2 linked regions of the Arabidopsis thaliana genome follow. The protein of the gene in region 2 interacts with the protein of the main gene of each other region in a pairwise test. Each region holds a gene or a part of one and is shown on either strand. Other genes may lie near its edges.

The links. The genes of interacting proteins can lie anywhere in the genome.
Region 1: the proteins of SRF4 (region 2) and UMAMIT30 interact in a protein complementation assay, tested with the Arabidopsis thaliana proteins (one large-scale study listed by BioGRID).

What each region holds. Positions count from the first base shown.
Region 1 is NC_003075.7:606,552-611,270, reverse strand, and holds UMAMIT30 (nodulin MtN21 /EamA-like transporter family protein), read right to left. Parts: upstream 2,999-4,719; 5' UTR 2,686-2,998; coding exon 2,501-2,685; intron 2,128-2,500; coding exon 2,065-2,127; intron 1,916-2,064; coding exon 1,799-1,915; intron 1,704-1,798; coding exon 1,316-1,703; coding exon of another isoform or gene 1,280-1,315; exon of another isoform or gene 1,227-1,279; coding exon 1,075-1,226; intron 965-1,074; coding exon 784-964; 3' UTR 506-783; downstream 1-505.
Region 2 is NC_003074.8:4,185,613-4,191,832, reverse strand, and holds SRF4 (STRUBBELIG-receptor family 4), read right to left. Parts: upstream 4,463-6,220; 5' UTR 4,324-4,462; coding exon 4,230-4,323; intron 4,102-4,229; coding exon 3,969-4,101; intron 3,880-3,968; coding exon 3,808-3,879; intron 3,703-3,807; coding exon 3,637-3,702; intron 3,562-3,636; coding exon 3,490-3,561; intron 3,396-3,489; coding exon 3,324-3,395; intron 3,250-3,323; coding exon 3,178-3,249; intron 3,097-3,177; coding exon 3,028-3,096; intron 2,931-3,027; coding exon 2,865-2,930; intron 2,778-2,864; coding exon 2,180-2,777; intron 2,096-2,179; coding exon 1,824-2,095; intron 1,719-1,823; coding exon 1,598-1,718; intron 1,515-1,597; coding exon 1,378-1,514; intron 1,285-1,377; coding exon 1,128-1,284; intron 1,033-1,127; coding exon 970-1,032; 3' UTR 535-969; downstream 1-534. Other genes in the region: AT3G13070 (CBS domain-containing protein / transporter associated domain-containing protein), read left to right, coding at 1-17, 98-322; AT3G13062 (Polyketide cyclase/dehydrase and lipid transport superfamily protein), read right to left, coding at 4,565-4,683, 5,046-5,328, 5,469-5,665, 5,825-5,906, 6,109-6,220.

The sequences.
Region 1 (4,719 bases), on a different chromosome or scaffold from region 2:
TTGTAAAGAAAAAGCAAAGCAATAGCGATTTCTTTTTCTGGTGGGTAATGATTTATAAACAAAAAAGAAATATTTAATAAAGTATATAAAACATGAAAAAAATAAAGTACGAAGATGTCATAGTAGCCCAACATACCCTGTACTCGCCTTTTAGGAAATAAATAACTATTCGTGTTTGTTAACATTTGCAATAATAGTCATATTTACAGAACAAAAACATTGAAATAATTTGATAAAAAAAAGAAAGAACATTGAAATAATTTCCATAAATTCGGAGTACGTAATCGACCGTTTACTAATATGACTCTCATCAATAAGGACGTCAAAGTATGTCACACCATCCACGAGAAATCGAGAATCGAATTATGTTGAAACTTAGGTATTGAGTAAAAGAAACCAAATAAAGGTATTGAAAGCTCACAAGAATCTATTGTAAACTTTAGTTTTTCAACTATTATTATTTTACGTTATTTATTTTTTACGTAAAAAGATGCAGATTGAATAATTTGTTCTGTCAATTAAGGTTATATTCGATACTGTTTATTTCTGTTTTTCGACACTGTTTATTCACATAAACAAATTACAGTATCCAAATGAATCCCGTAGGAATTAAAATCCCCAAAAAAACTAAACGTTGCAACACAAGTACGAAATTGTCCAATAAAAGTATGAAATAGTCCAATAAACAATGAAAACGATCGTTATCTTCTCTTCTTCATATTTCATTTTTTGAAGACATATCGGTCATGATTCTTGTTGAACAAGCGTGTTTAGGGAAGTAGATCAAGGAGTCATCGGAATAACCAAAAGTTGACCGTTGTTAACATTTGTACGGCCTTCCTCTTCCTTTTCTTCTTCCACCGTATTGGTAGGCAACTTCATGATCTTACACTCTACTATTTGCTTACTCCTACTCCATAGAAATATATATAAACCGATCACAACCACCACAGATCCAATAACGCTACAACAATAATAAAAGTTTAGTCCATAACATGCACATGATATAATATATTCAAGAGGTTTATATAGTTAAAATATAAAGTTAATACAGTTAGATTTTTAATAATATACCTTCCCAAATAAATCTCACGATGAAGAATCAAGAAATCGAACACGGTTGCAGACATAAGCACGACAGGACTAAATGATGAGGAAACGACAGGTCCTTGTTGTTTGATACACCACGACATGCCCACCGTACACATACCTTGTGCAACCACTCCCTATAAACATATATTAACAATAGATCAATATCTGATTATTGTGTGGATCCAAATTATTTATATGTCTGACGAAACATTGTCTTATATACCGCTATAACGACGGTGATGATGGTAAGCTCATCTCTAAGGATCCAATCTTCCAAATGTCTAGTCTTAATTAAACTAAGAAGGGCGCATTGAAGCGTACCAAAGACCGACAAAATAACGGTACTCGAGTATGGACAAGGGTATTTCACGTTGATCTTGGCTTGTATAAGCATCCAAGAACTGAAAAGAACAACTCCGGTCAATAAAAAGAAACAACCTTTGATCCAATTCTCATGTCCTGTGTGGTTATTTGAATTTGCTGCTTGTTCTGGAGAGTTTGTTAATGGAATCCCTTGATACATAGTAAGAAGTAAACCTCCTACTAAGCTTATCAAAGTTCCAAGAACGACACCGTATCCTATTTTTGTTTTCAAACTTAGCTTTTCGAACCTGCAAATTTTATTTTTTCAAAATAAAAAGGTGTAAGATTACACTTGAGATGATAGCGTATATGGCACTTTTCTTTATTTTAACAATAATTGTACCCAAATATTAAAGCCATAACGAAAGTGAGGGAAGGCATTATGGCCCAGAAAGCAGATCCCAGCGTTGCAGACGTGTAGGACAGTCCAAGCAAGTAGAAATATTGCATCAAGCTCGCCCTGAAAAAGAAAGATTTATGATAAACGATTATATTTCATTTTATCAAAAACAAAAAAAAATAACATCTTACATAAACATACAAAAAAAGCAATAAAGAGGGAGAGAATAGAAAAACATAAGGATTTAGTGGATTAAAACCGAAACTTACCCAAAAAGGGCACTGACGAAAAGCTGACATGAGATGCTTAGAGTTAGCTTTGGTCTTGTTTTCCTGAACAAATCATGAAATCGAATATTTATTTTGTTAGGCACACACAATTCTGATTCTATATCCGTACATAGAAAAACATTCATGAAACTCTCTAGTATATACTCTTTATTGTTTTCAAGTTAATATTCTTTTATCTTATGAAATAAAATAAATTAAATAAAGTAATTAGCCAGAAAAAAAAAGATAGAGATGAAGCATCAAACGTGATATTTGTGTCTTCTTGTATTTTCACAACATAGTAACCAAAATTCAATTTTTTTAAAAACACTGCCACAAACTTTTAAATATTTTATTATTTTATTAAGGCATAACGAAATGTATAAAAATCTGAAAGCTACGAAAATAAAAATCAAAGAAGAAGTAGTAAACGTACCGTTCCCAAAAATAAGCGACTGGAAGAAGGAAAAGAGTAGATATACCCAAACGATAAGTAGCAATAACCATATGATTGATGCCTCCATCAAGAACTTTCTTAACTAAAGCATTAACCATTCCCGCAATCATGTTAGAAACAATTAAGACTATCATTGGTGCCCACTTTCCATCGATAAAACCCATGATTAGTATAAGTTAATTACTTAATAACCAAAATGATATCTCTTTCTTTCTCTCTCAGTCTCGCTCTCTCTCTTAGCTTTTACTCTATCCTTCTCTCTCTGTCTCTTCTTCAGAAACTTGTTTGAGTAGTGAAATATTAAGACTAGAGGTGGATATATTTATAAATAACATGGATGTTGAGTTGGAGCCCATTTCTTTCTAAAACAACAAAAAACAATGAAAATATTTAAAGAACGAGTAGGTATTGAATTCTTTTTTAACTATGAAACAAATTATAGAACTACTAAGTAAAGTTCTTTAACAGAAAAAAAAAAAAAACTATTAAGTAAAGTTATATGAAACATTTGTTTTTTGAAATTGTAGGTATAGAATATACTGTTTTTCTCGGTGGAAGGGATTAGTAATATATATATATATATATATATTTATATGTAACTGTGATGATGTATATACCACATATGAATGATGTTTCTATATGTATTAAGTTATTAACTATATATTTGTTATAAACTATGCGGGGGCATGCTAATAGTATATATTTCTAAAGATATTAACTATTAGGTAAATGATATACGGGTATGTCAAACTACAAAAAAAAAAATACAACTAAATACTAGGAAATATAAAACTAACACCACTACTCAGTAAAGTTTAGTGGTGTCAAAAAATTATAATTAATTTCTCAATATGTTAGATTTATTTAAGTCACGACTAAATAATGGTAATTAAAGACATAAAATTAAATTAATAATATGAAAATTAGTTTTTTCTTTTCTTATACAACTAAATCTCATACAAATACTCTTCTAAATTTAAAACAGTACTATAAGTTTATAACACAACAGCTTCACTAATAAGCTACCCACCCCGGTCCATAACTGAGTTTGTCGTCAACTTTTCTTATTATATTTATCGACTATATATGTAGCACTAATCGAATTAAAAATTGTTGTTTTGCTCACGTTGTTAATTACGAGTTCAGTGTAATCATTTTAACAAAAATTAAAGAAATGGATAAAACCCAATCATTTCATCAAATGAAAGCAAAGTTGCCTTTGTACCGAACAATTGAATTAATATTTCCCCCAAAAAGAAGCAAAATTATAATTTAAAACATACTTTCACTATCTCTATAAACTTATAAGGTATACGACACATTGTAAATTGACAAGTACACCAAATTCTTTTCTGTTTAAGATTTATTAATATGTAAGCTTACTGATGATAAGATAATTAGATTTCCTTTTTCGTAAATACCAGATTTTATAAGCCCAATTGGAGCCAAACAGCAAAAAATTAAAATTAAAATATGTTCGTAATGTCATAATAAACTATAAAAAATACAGTTTTTTTTAGAAAAGTTTTATCAACCAAACTCCGATGGTTTCAGATGACCTCCTTATTTTTTTTTTTTTTTGGTTCCATACTTCCAGATTAACCACATAATAAAAAAATAAAAAATAAACTTTACTACTACTTGCATCAAAACAAATTACCCAACTTTATATTGAAAGACATTCAAATAACACATGAATAATGTTTCTTCCACTGGTCACATAGTTGATTTTTTTTTTGAATATAAGAACTGTAAATATCATTTCAAAAAATGAAAGTTTAGGATTTAATTGGTCCGAGAAATTTTTGTAAAAAACATGAAAGCATAGACATTCGAGGATTAAATCATCAACGAAAACCATAAGCGGTGAAGCTTATGGCAAGGCTACATTTGAAGTTTTTTTGTTATCACACATCCTGAAGCTAATTGACAATAAACTTGTTGCCACCTGCCAAATAAAATGTTTTAATTTTGCAAGAAAAAAGATTTTCCCAATTATACTTTTAAAAGCATTAAAGTTTTGTCTCCAACTATAATATTCAGAAGGTAAAACTCACGTAATAGAGCAAACCATTAATATGATTTAACAGTAAATTTCCCAAATCCAGTGAAATGCCATGTACTGTATAGTTATCATGTCTATATAAGTGTAAGCTAAATACCCCACCCACGAGTAAAATGTGTATCTGTCATATCCA
Region 2 (6,220 bases):
AAATCTATAGAGTAGAGGTATTGAGTGGCTCATTTTCATATTTGGCACAAAGCACCGTCAATGTTTTGAACTAATCGAGGTCTTTTTCGGTTTGTAGATACTAGCAGGGAATGCAAGAAAAGTTAGTGCTGTCCGGTTTGAGAGAGTGAACGATATGGATCAAGTGTCGGAGGCAAGTGATGTAAAAAGCATGGTTCCCAAATTTGTAAGGAAATGGAGCAGCGAAGAAGATGATGGGAACTTGTCCAACGAAGAAGACCAATCCGAGAATGCTGTCTTAGATGAACATGTACTGGCTGATAATAGCAAGAAACAACAATGACACTGAGATACAGTTCCTTTTTTCTTTATGCTGCATTTTTCAATTCTTCTTTGAAAAGGAAAGAAGTAAGCTCACAAATACAAGAAGCTTTCTTCTTTAGATTTAATGTAATAATCAGGATGGATAAATTAAGAAATTCGTGTTAGGTAAAATCCTATACAAGAAAGAAAAAAAACATCATCAGGAGAAATATGAAATTCGTACGCAAGTCTACATTTAATTTGTCGATTTCTGTTTATGCACAGACGACTCTGTTTCCGAAAACAGAGCTTACTGGTCTAATTGTTAATATTCTTACACAGATGAGACTTTTGGATTTTATTTTGCAGTTTGATTTATGTTTGTAGACAGTGGATTACAAGAGAGGGTTATTCTATGACACTAGTAGCTTTTTTCAACTTTTCTCATTGTGTAAAAGATTAATCTAAAGGTTAAGACATGATCTGAAACAAAAACCCAAATAATAGAATCTCTGTCTCTCCTTTCCTCCACCTATATATCTCTCTATACAAACCTGAATCCAATAGCTTTTGAGTTTCCTACTTGATTTTAATCAGAAGTTTCTCAGGTTTTAGCCGCAATCTCCAGAAGAGTTATTCTTCTTCTTTTAATACTTTGGGGGCTTCAAAATGACTTGAGGCACTAGACTACACTAGCCTCTTCAATGCCTCCACCACATTTGACACTGGAGGCCTAAGTCCAGGCTCCGTCTGAAAACAAGAAATAACAATCCATTCTCACAAACCTTGAACTTAGAAGCTCTGAAGAACATAATAACACAATAGAGAATCAACAATGAGCGTACCATTACGCAGATGGAAACTATATCCGCGAATGATGATACAGATTCTGGAGCGTAGAGTCCGCACAACGCGGGATCCACCATTTCATCCAGAGTATCCATGTCTTTAAGCTGCGGCTTTGCCCAACGAACTAAAGACTGTTCTGCTTTTGGCCTCCCACTGAAGATTAGAGGCATTCAAAAAACATTTCAGATACTTGTATAGTTCTTTATAGATATTATATCGGACATTACTACTGTTTGAGAATGGAACCTGTCATAAGGCTTTCGACCAGTTAGCAGCTCAAGCATCACCACACCAAAGCTGTACACGTCGCTCTTTTGTGTGTAAGCGGAGGGATCTGTGCATTCTGGGGCATTGTATCCAACTCCAAGATTCTGACTTGTGCGCTACAGTTTCAAGAGATGAGACACTTTAATAGATTTGAAACAACTCTGTATCTCCATAACACTAATTTTTACAAGAAGCTCACGTGGTGAAAGTTTGCCAAGCCATAGTCTGAGAGGCGGGGATTTAGCTCATTATCAAGTAAAATGTTTGATGACTTGATGTTCTTGTGAACTAGCGGAGGCGAACATGTTTCATGAAGGTACCTGACAAAAGAGAGTTTCTTGTCACAAGATAAAAAATGAAAATAAAGAAGAGCAGCAAGTAGCTAGTTCGATGATTCTCCTCAAACAAATGGTTTAGATAATTACTCTATAGCTTTAGCAGTTCCGAGAGCGATTCGGATTCTGGTGTTCCACGTCAATGGTTTGCTGAAATCATCAGACAGGTGAAGAAATCTGTGAAGTGATCCACTTGTGAAATACTCATAAACAAGCATATTTCTTCCTTGTTCTGAACAATAACCCACGAGTTCTGCCATATTCTTGTGGTGAATACTCGAGATACTCGACACTATGTGTGAAAACTCTTCCGGATTGCCTTTTCCTAACAGAGAAGAATCAATCTCTTTGACTGCAAATTTCTGGTAAGAAGAGGATAACAAGATAAGAGATCTAAAGAAAGTTTTCTTGAGAAGAAAATGTGGAATGTAACAAGGAAAACAAACCCTTCCATCCTGAAATTTAGCTTTATAAACACGTCCAATGGTTCCTTCACCAAGAAGGCGATTCGGCGAGAAACAAGACGCGGTATTCTGCAAATCCGCTAGTGAAAACGCTTTCACACCGCGTGTATCAGGAGAGTCTTGGGAGGTGGAGGAACGGTCAGGGGTAGCAGCCACTTGGGTAGAAGGTATGAGATGAAAAGTAGGAGAGTTCTTGAAACTGACAGAAGAAGTTCTTTTAACAGAAGGCTTTGTTTCAAGTGAAGTATTAGAATCAACTGTCTTCTGGTTTTTGAATTCTTCCATATTATCGAATTGAAGCATCTGAGAGGATTGTGGTGTGAAGAGTGGCTTGCTTCGGTTGGTTCCTTTCTCGTCGTCGAAAAAGTGAGAAGAATCATTAGAGTTCTTTCTTCGAGAAATCAATGCAATCAACCCTGCAAATAAAATGAGTCCACCTATAGAAGACACCGCTATTATAACTCCTAGTGTCAGAGCCTTGCTGCTTCCTCCACCGCCTCCTGATGAGTTTCTGTCTATGTGACGGGTTCCCGGAGGTGGTGAAGGAGCTCTACCGCTTGACCACTTGTTTCCTCCAGTTCTAACCAAGAAATGAAGAAAAACACATTAATGCTTTTGCATCTTTTGATTGTGTTTAAGGGAGAATGAGAGAGATAATAAAACTTACTCAAGGTTTCCAATATTCTTCAACTCGTTTGGGATCCAACCAGTAAATTGATTGTTTGCTACGTTTCTGTCAACGCAAGATTCATAAACAACATTAATGAAAGAAAGTTCATATTTCAAGGATTTAAACGATGTGTTATGTATATAGCATGAAAAATACTAACACATCATCAATCTGAGGGAGGTCCCTGAGAGCATTTATAGAGCCTTTGAATTGGTTTTCTTGCAAATGCCTATAATTAGAATGGTAAGGTGAGTAACAGTACAAAGGAGTTAAATTTGAACAACTACTTCGAAGTGCTTTCTTCTCTTACAGTGTTTTAAGACCTGTTAGATTGGCAAAACTCTGCGGTAGTTTTCCCGTGAGTTGATTGGAAGAAAGATCACTGCAAAACATATACTCAATGAAGTTAATGAAATCTTTCCAAATCTGCTGCAAAAAAAGAAGTATGTGGCTTACATTGTTTCAAGTTTTGGAAGCTTTTGAAACATGTCACTGAGTTCACCATTGAGGTTGTTACGGCCAAGGTTTCTGAGTAAATACAAGAACAGGTATGACTAAAAGGGCGGGGTGATACGTGGGAAAAGATTATGCGAATGAGTCAAATTAAATGTCTTTGGCTTACAGGTAACTGAGGTCGTTCATGAGAGACACCGAATATGGCACATTACCGTTGAAGTCATTCTCAGAGCCATCTCTGCAATACCAACACATTGAAATTGTGTACTAATGAACATCATATATTATGGCTTTGTAATTCGAAGATACTTACAGATAAGTAAGCTTGTCAGGAAGCTGGTAGGGTAAGTTTCCGTTAAGATTGTTCTTGCTTACATCACTGTTACAATGACAAAACAGAACATGTAGCTGATATCATCAATTAACTGAATTTGATCAAGAAGTAGAGATTAAGGAGATGTATCGAGGGTAAAAACATTCTCACAGGTAAGTGAGCGATTTCAAGTTTCCAAGCTGGTAACCTAAAGATCCACTGAGTCCACGTCCAGATACTTTTCTACAGAAACAGAAAACGAGAAAACAAGAAAATCAGAATCGGTGAAGAGTATCAAACCATTGATCAAGACCAGAGAGGAAGTAACAAACATTTCAGTAACAGAAGAGCCTTTGCAAGTAATGCCATCCCACGAATCGCCACAAGGATCGCCTCCGCTTGAAGACCAGCCTTTGAGTTTTGATGGAGAGTTCATGCTCTTATAAGCGTCATTAAGAGCAGATACTACAAGAATCCATAAATATGATCAGGCAGGAATAACGTTCATGAACTAAATATGAAATTTTACAACCACCTCTCTGATTTCAAGATCGGATCACAACGTTTTTAAATGATTCAATAAGAACACTCACCGTCTTGGCTATCGGTTTTTGCAAGAACAACGGAGGTGAAGATTCCGAAACATGCAATGAAGACAAGTACGATCCGCTGCAGATTTGGTCCCATGATCCGACAGTTTTAAGCTCAAAAATCAAAATCTGTAAAATAACAAAAGAGATGATCCAGAGAGAAACCCAGGGCTGGTTCCGGGTTTCCTTGGGGATGAAGGAAACACACGAAAACCAAAGGAGAGGAAACAAAGAAGCTAGATAGGTCATGAAAGAAAACTAAATTGGAAATGGTGTGGCAGTAACCAAAAATGGCAAATTCAGTTTCTTCTGTTTTCTTTTAGGATTTTTGAATGACGTTATTGAGTGAAAAGGCGAATAAATCTGGACGTGTGAATAGAGAAATGTACAGCTAAAAATGAAGCAGACACCGAAACATTAGGAGAGAGACCACAACTGTGTCCAAGTCCCGATCCAACTGCAAAACACACACATAAACAAGTTTGTTTCAACGTATATTCAATTTCAAGCACACGTGTGTGTGAACAAACAAAAATTACAACAATTTCATTCAATTGGTCTGAAATTTGGTGAGAAAAACAAGGGCTTGACTGTAAAATACAAGTTTTTACATTCACATTAACACAAATATAAAGTCTTCCACGACACGTATACAAAACTTTGAAGACCCCAGAGCTCATGTGATCAGAGACATTGCAGAAATAGAACTTTTCTATTCACACGTTTAATCACTTTTACAGACACTCCCTATCACACAAGCTTAATCTAAGTAAGTTGCACATGCTTCATCAAAACCAAATCTATGCATGACTTAAATACCAGCGTTTTGGGAAGTTTGACTCAGTTGAGCTCCACGCTTTCTCATCTTCGACAAGAAGTAAGCCAACGCGACCTTTGCCCCTAAGGCGGAGTGACCACGAGACAGGCAGATTGCACCACCAACGGCACCGCCCACAAGTAACATACCATTTGCTATCAGTTTCTTTGAAGGCTTTCTCAACAGTTTCTTCCGTTTGGCTCCTTCACCTGTGTGCATACCACTAGTGGTAGTTCCCGAGGAGTTTGTAATGTCGTCTGTCTGACTTTCTAACTCCGATGGAATCTGTGGGATAAGACAAGGGTGGGTCAAACAAGGCATATTCATTGAGATTTCACAAACAGATATTTGCAGGGAACAATCTATCCAGCACTTGACCAGAGAACTGAACTCAGAGCAGGTAAAAAAAAACACTAACATCTCACCTTTTTCATTAAGCTTACAGCAGATAATGTGGGCCCTTGGGGTCGATGACTGGTTGCAATGTACTTGCGAAGTGCATTTTCCATCTTACAAACGTAACTCCATATGCCTCTTGAGAAAGCAAGCTTTGCCATCTCAACATTTAATCCAGCATCCTCCTGGTGAACCATGTGTATCTCACAAGCGTTCCTACCAGGAACTGCAGCAAGTTTAAGTTATGCATAGACAGTATGGAGGAATGAAAAACCTTATTCACCACTCATACATATTACAGAGATTTGTGGTATATGTTACTGATGAGATATCAAGAGAAGATTTAGTTGAAATATGGATGATAACCCTGACAAGAAACACTTGCCTTTCCTAATTCGCCAACCAGATCTGAAATAACTTACACGTACATACTTCCTCTGTTGCGGCACCATATTGTGATCACATTCCTGATAATAACCAAAGAGCAAAACAATAAGTAAAGAGGCAAAGCGAATAACAGATAATATATAACATGGTCCAGGTCTGTGTATCTAGCATATACGAGAAATACTTAGCAAATTTAAAGAGGAATGCATAGGTGCAAATGAATAATGTAATTTAGAAATAATAGCATTAAAAATAATGCCCTTAAGATAAGTGCATCATTACCTTGATGAAACAGTAAAACTTATCCTTCCCCTCCCACAATTTCCACGCTAATACATACTCCCTTGGAGTCAACAAGGGAAACTTTTTTATAGTGCGACCAATCTCAATCCCA